Linked DNA regions of Schizosaccharomyces pombe. The protein of the gene in region 1 interacts with the protein of each later gene in a biochemical or structural test. Each region holds a gene or a part of one and is shown in the gene's direction. Other genes may lie near its edges.

Evidence for each region. Proteins that work in one complex are often made in the same cells at the same time.
Region 2: of the proteins of mak2 (region 1) and mpr1, one has a biochemical effect on the other in vitro, tested with the Schizosaccharomyces pombe proteins (one study listed by BioGRID).

Annotation. Positions count from the first base shown.
Region 1 is NC_003424.3:4,025,051-4,028,809, forward strand, and holds the start of mak2 (phosphorelay sensor kinase Mak2), read left to right. Parts: upstream 1-1,968; 5' UTR 1,969-2,063; coding exon 2,064-3,759. Other genes in the region: Tf2-6 (retrotransposable element/transposon Tf2-type), read left to right, coding at 1-1,443. UniProt on the Schizosaccharomyces pombe protein: Involved in the control of the SAPK-dependent transcriptional response to peroxide stress. Regulates sty1 activity.
Region 2 is NC_003423.3:1,201,112-1,204,870, forward strand, and holds the start of mpr1 (histidine-containing response regulator phosphotransferase Mpr1), read left to right. Parts: upstream 1-1,940; 5' UTR 1,941-2,645; coding exon 2,646-3,533; 3' UTR 3,534-3,759. Other genes in the region: aspartate aminotransferase Maa1, read left to right, coding at 1-863. UniProt on the Schizosaccharomyces pombe protein: Binds to the msc4 response regulator which is part of a multistep phosphorelay system that transmits oxidative stress signals to the spc1 MAPK cascade.

The DNA of each region.
Region 1 (3,759 bases):
ATCTCGATAACCGATGATTTTAAAAACCAAGTGGTTACAGAATATACGAATGATACAAAATTGTTGAATTTACTAAACAATGAAGACAAACGAGTGGAAGAGAATATCCAACTCAAAGATGGCTTACTAATTAACAGTAAAGACCAAATCTTATTACCTAATGATACTCAGCTGACTAGGACAATTATTAAAAAGTATCATGAAGAAGGTAAATTGATTCATCCAGGCATTGAACTTCTTACAAACATTATATTACGTAGATTTACGTGGAAAGGAATAAGAAAACAAATACAAGAATATGTACAGAACTGCCATACATGTCAAATAAACAAATCTAGGAATCATAAACCTTATGGACCTTTACAACCAATTCCCCCATCAGAAAGACCTTGGGAATCTTTATCAATGGATTTTATTACAGCTTTACCAGAATCATCTGGTTATAATGCACTTTTCGTGGTAGTTGACCGATTTTCAAAAATGGCAATCTTAGTACCTTGTACGAAATCCATTACAGCAGAGCAAACAGCTCGAATGTTTGATCAACGAGTTATTGCTTATTTCGGCAATCCAAAAGAAATCATTGCAGATAATGATCATATTTTTACTTCCCAAACGTGGAAAGATTTCGCACATAAATATAATTTCGTTATGAAATTTTCGTTACCATACAGACCACAAACTGATGGACAAACTGAGCGTACAAACCAAACTGTGGAGAAATTACTAAGATGTGTATGTAGCACACATCCAAATACATGGGTAGATCATATATCCCTAGTGCAACAATCTTACAACAATGCGATACATTCAGCAACTCAAATGACACCTTTTGAGATAGTACATCGCTATTCACCAGCTTTATCACCTTTAGAGTTACCTAGCTTTAGTGACAAAACTGACGAAAACTCTCAGGAAACGATCCAAGTATTTCAAACAGTTAAAGAACACTTGAATACAAACAACATAAAGATGAAAAAGTATTTCGATATGAAAATACAAGAAATTGAAGAATTTCAACCTGGAGACCTAGTTATGGTCAAAAGAACGAAAACAGGTTTTCTTCATAAATCCAATAAATTAGCACCTAGTTTTGCAGGACCGTTCTATGTGTTACAGAAGTCGGGTCCAAACAACTATGAATTGGATCTTCCAGATTCAATCAAGCACATGTTTTCATCTACTTTTCATGTTTCTCACCTAGAAAAGTATCGACATAATTCAGAACTCAATTACGCTACCATTGATGAGTCTGATATTGGAACAATTCTTCATATCCTAGAACATAAAAACAGAGAACAAGTACTCTACTTAAATGTCAAGTACATTTCGAATCTAAATCCGAGTACTATTATGTCAGGATGGACTACATTAGCTACAGCGCTACAAGCGGACAAAGCAATTGTCAATGATTATATTAAAAACAATAATCTAAATATCTGAGAACATATGACTTATCCTCAGATTTACATAGAAAATCTTGGGGAGGGCAATGTCAGCAATACTACACTACGCTATAATACACTACGTTGAGTATCACTATATGTCACATGTTCTAATTATATATCGTACCATGTATGATACGATATGGAGATTGATCTTAATGATAATCTATTAAGATCAATATTATCTGAATACTATAAATAGAGCTACTGCTGAACCTCGTTCCTCAGTTCAGTTATGAGCTATATTAGTGATAGGTAACATTATAACCCAGTTAATACAATACCTATACTCAGTTGCTACTTATACAACCTGTGTATCGTAATATAATAGATCACAAGGAAAACTCACCGCAGTTCTACGTATCCTTAAATCAGATACCAAACTGCGTAGCTTACATTTTAAAATCAATAAGAAGCATACCACATTTTTTGTTAAATGGTATAAGGATACCCTCTGTCATGCTAATTGGTGACGGCAAATTCTAAAGTTAACAATAAATCCACCCCTTCAACTTCTCATTTTATACTATATTCTAAATATTAATTATTTACAGTTTAACATGTCGTATTAAGGATAATTATTGATTTTATTTTTATTTTTTTTAGTTCAAATTCTCAATGAGCTTGTACAAGTCATTGGACGTTGCAATTGATTATGCAATTTCTCAGTTGGGAGAGTTCCAGTTCCAACCAATTCGTACGCAATCGAACCCTTCTTCTCTTCTTTCTGCGTGCTTGGTGCGTGCCGTCCATGTAGAAACAAGGCGAAAAGTAATTTTTAAGTTTTCCCAACAAACTTTCAAGCTAGAGAATGAATACTTTTTGTTGCGTCAGTTGTCATCTCATCCAAATGGAAGAAATTATGCTATTGCTCCCGCATATATATTACTGTTGAACGAAACCTTAGGTGCGCTTATTTACGATGATCCTGGGCCTAACATTCTGGATGAGTGGTTAGGGAATCCTAACCCTTTGGATCTAAAATTATTTCTCAAGTTTGCCCTTGGCGTTTCTTACGTCTTATGTTTTTTACATGAAAAAAAAATCGTGCATGGCGAAATTCGTCTTGACACTTTCCATTATGATTTGAATGCCCCTATTCATGCAAAGTTGCTTACCATCGGGAGTAGCGTATCCCCTATCAGATTTACCTTGTCTTCCTTAAACTGGAAGCGTCTTTATCAAGTCCAGAATATATGTCACAAACTTCAGTTTTTTAGTCCTGAACAAATTGGAAATGTGGGGCGACCGTTAGATTCCAGGTCCGATATCTATTCTTTGGGTATTCTTTTTTATGTTATCTTGACCAAGCAATATCCCTGGGGTGGGCAATCTATGAGAATTGTTCAATCGATTCATATGAGACAGTTTCCTTCTGTATTGCCTCGTCGTCCTGATGCCTTTCCAGCGCTTGATCAATTGATTCAAAAAATGACTGCCAAGTCTATGAACTCAAGAATTTCTTCTGCTACCGATTTGTGTTATACGATTGTTGAGTTAATGCAAGAATTTTCTACAATCACCTCTTCTCCTTTGCTGGACCAAAAATTGTTATCTATAAATAAACCACAGCAAGAAAAGCTTAAGTTTCCTAAATTACTATTGACCAATTCTTCAGATTACGTCCGGATCTTCCACGAGCTTGTAGCTTTTTCTTCAAAACGCGATCTTCTAACGAGTGCTAAGCGTGTTGATAAACTTCCAAAGCAACACCTTTTCAAATATCGTCCAGTAGATAATGAGGCTACATATTGCCAAGTTGTTACAGTTACCGGTGAGAAGGGCTCTGGAAAAAGTAATTTGCTTAATGCTGTCGCCGATGAAGCAAGAAAATTTGGATATTTTGCAATGAGCTCTTTTAAAGGTCATCATTTTTCTCCATATTCTGCCATTTTTAAATGTGTCTCTTTAATTATGCAACAGACTCTTCGTGAAGAAAAACAGCTAGTTACTGATTACTTTACATCGCTGTGGGAATTTCTTGGATTTCAATTGATTTACATGGGAGAACTATTTGAATATGTTCCAGAATTAAACTCGCTACTATCTCCGAAATATAATCTACATTGCAAAAGAGAAAACTATTTCAAGTTAAAAAAGAGAGATCCCCAACAATTCCGCAGTGCAAGCGGTCGTTTAGGATTTATGGTTTGTCTTCTAGAAATACTAAGCTTCACTTCCAGAGTTCGACCTGTCATTATAATATTGGATGAATTACATTTGGCTGATCATCCTTCGCTCTCTTTGATAATTGGCATGATTTCTCATAGACTTCCTATCTTACTAATTTTGGCTTGGGATGAACCTGTGATGT
Region 2 (3,759 bases), on another chromosome or scaffold:
TTGCTTCATTTTATCCATCAAAGACTATTTACGTATCTGACCCTACTTGGGGAAATCACAAGAATGTATTTTCTCGAGCTGGCTTGACCGTTAAGTCCTACAAGTATTATGATCCTGCTACTCGTGGGTTGGACATTAAAGGCATGTTGTCCGATTTAACTTCAGCTCCTGATGGCTCTATTATATTATTGCATGCTTGTGCTCACAATCCAACTGGTGTAGATCCTACGAAAGCTCAGTGGGATGATATCCTCAAAACAATGCAAAAGAAAAACCATTTTGCTCTTTTAGACATGGCTTACCAAGGATTTGCCAGTGGTGATTTTGCTCGTGATGCTTATGCCACTCGTCTGTTCGCCTCCAGCAATGTCCCCATGTTACTCTGCCAATCCTTTGCTAAAAACATGGGTCTATATGGTGAACGTGCTGGCTGCTTTAGCATTTTAGCCAACGATGCTGAGGAAGCCGCTCGTATCGAAAGCCAAACTAAGATTCTCATTCGTGCTTTGTATTCCAACCCTCCCGTCAATGGGGCCAGAATTGCCAACCATATATTGAGCAACCCTGCACTTCGTGAACAGTGGGCTGGTGAAGTTGTAGGCATGTCCGAACGTCTTAAGAGTATGCGTAAGGCTCTTCGCAACATCCTTGAAAAGGACCTTAAGAATAAACACAGCTGGAAGCATATCACTGACCAAATTGGTATGTTTTGTTATACTGGTTTAAATCCCCAGCAAGTTGATGTTTTGGCTAAACAGTATCACATTTACCTCACTAAGAATGGTCGTATTAGCATCTCCGGTCTCAACACTTCCAATGTAAGATACTTTGCCGAAGCTATCAATGCCGTTACTTCGAATTAGTCGGTGGTGAAATTGAAGTGAAAAGATTTTGGTTTATTATATAGACAGATGGATTTTTGATTGATTCTTTGTTCTGAATCTTTTTTGTTCTTCTTTCTGTTTTTATTTTATTATACATACATATAGACAGACTCAAACACACATATACATATACATATATTTGTATACATTTAATTTTTTTTCCCTTTTCATTTCTCCGAAACCATGAGAAGACGTATTTAGTAACCTAATTGTCTCGGCTTATTTTTTTTTCCTTATACTTTCGCTTTGAGGTGAATAACTACAGTTTTGCTTCCAAATAGATGGCATGGTCTGTTTTTAAATGAATGGATTTTGGATCTAAAAATTGACTAAATATTGATTCGTTTTCGAAATAGTATGCTTTTCGTTTGTCTATCTTCATTTATTTCCATACTTTGTTTCTGTAGATGTTTGTCTAGTAGTTCACTTACTTCATACTTTAGATTGCCTCTAGTTAACCCAAAATTTGGCACATTTTACTATCCTCTCTCATATACATATTAAATCCCACTTTTTCGTTGGAAAACTATCAATTATCTTTCCCATTGCATTTGTCATATGTTGGGATTTCCCAAGTTCATCAAACTTCTGAGATGTACGAAATAAGTGAGGTAGGAATGAAATTTGTGCAAAGCTTTTAATTATTTCTAAAAATAGGAGAATATCGCTGGAAATTGGCACCTTTCCAATGACTAGGATAGGCCCTATGTAGTGATATCGAAATAAATATCTGCAAAAAGAGTATCATTCTTCCCTCCCAATGTGCAATGCTACAGCCATCAGGAATTGCTGCGCTTATTAGGAAATGGCCGAAAATGCCAAAGATGGTGGGAAACTGTTCTTCCATCTCCAGTTCGTCTTTTTTTTCTACACTGACTGATATGGAGGAATCATTGAAATTCGGGGTATAGTGAGACGTAGCGTCATTATATTAATATACTTTATCGTTTTGGGTGGTTGTGTATCGGTACATTTGACTGCTTTATTACGTTGCATGGCGTCACTCCCAAGTGTGAGTTTTGCAAACAATTCTTTCGCGGCATTTACCTACTTTCCGTCTCCCATTTACTACATTAGAATATCTAAAAATCAGACATAAGCACAGGCAAAACCATAGTCTCTACTCTCTGCCTTACCCTTGTTGCATTTGAACTTAATTATAGAGAGAGCACTTAACAATCTTGTGAGGATTGGTTTTCTGTCTTTTGAATTGATACGAAAACAATAATATCGCCTTTTTAGTAGAGCTTGATAATTTTAGAACTTAGCAGAAGCTGAAGGCAAGTTTGTGTGGCGTCTAAAACTTGGCATCAAAGTTTCGAACACGCAAAAAAAGCTCCAAAACCGTATTGACTCTTTTCCATTAGAATCGTTGTTGAAGGAGATTTATCCACAAATCCTATTTAGTATTTGTGGGTTGTGTGGTAAAGCCATTTTCTTCTTTTGGTAATAGCCCTTGTACTGTACTACAGGTTAGTGAAACTGTTGATTATTTCATTTTGCTGGCATACCACACATTATTTTTATAATTTGTTTGTGTTGTCGACGCCTCTTTCAATAACTCACATTTCCTCGCTTTAATTTCAAATCGTTGTTAAAAAAGGAAAGTCTTAAATCTGATACAATATTCTGTATCGATTGCTACATTTTACTGTTTGCAAAGTAATACTGCTGATAAAATTTAGCTGAGCTTCTCCATTCGCTCTTACTTTAAACCCTTTTCTTTTTTTTTTGGATTTTCTTTTAATTATTTTCTAAAAAATGAGTGTATATCGTGATAACATGTATATGAAATACGACCGAAACTTCGAAAATCGTGTCGCCCGAAGAAATGGACAGGCGCGTAACGCTAGTCTTGCTAAGACTCTTCACGATTCTGGCATAGCTGAACGTGCACGCTCTCCTTCAGGGTCAGCGATCCCCCATGCTTATCGGGTTATGAATGGTTCTGGAGCGAATGACACTTCTTTACCACTGACCTCAAATCCTGCTTATGTTGCTCTAACGTCACGTATATCTTCGAGCAAAAGTGAAAACAATCAACAATTGGCTGCTAATGAGACGGCTGGCGCACCTGAAGGCACGGAGGAGACCGTTGACATCTCCAATTCTATTAGCGATGACCATGCGAATGCCAAAAATCTTCCCGCTGCTTCAGTCAAAGCTTTGGTTGGGGCTGGTGTCTTGTCGGATGAACTTTCAGTAATTGCTTACGATATGTCATTTGAGGATGAACTCATCCAAGACAAACAGCTCATTGATCATTCCGTTTTTGACCAGTTGCTTGAGATGGATGATGATGATGAGCATGAATTTAGTAAGAGTATTGTTTGGAATTATTTTGAGCAGGCAGAGACTACCATTGCCGACCTCCAAAAGGCCCTAGAGGCTAAGGATTTGAAGAAGCTTTCCTCGTTGGGGCATTTCCTTAAAGGATCTTCAGCTGTATTGGGCCTTACAAAAATGAGAAAGGTTTGTGAACGTATCCAAAATTACGGATCTCTACGCAGTCGTGATGGTGTAATGAAATTACCGAGCGAGGAAATTGCATTGGATTTGATTAGCAAATCTCTGTCGGTTGTGAACGACTTTTATAAGGATGCTCGAGCTTACTTACTTGACTTTTATGAAAAAAATTCTTCTACATAAAAGTCTCAACATGTCAAAGTACCTAGCCTTTCTTTCCCCCTTTTTATGACATTTATACCAGTTGTCTATCAAAGTCTTCTAGTTTTCCCAAATTTACGATAACTTGAAGTTAGTGATGAATTTCCAGCTTTTACGGTTTGAATAGTTATATTTATTATGACGCCCACACTTTTCCCGTACTTTGAAGTGCTTCCCTCTATCAAAGCAAATAGAGTGAAGTAATACA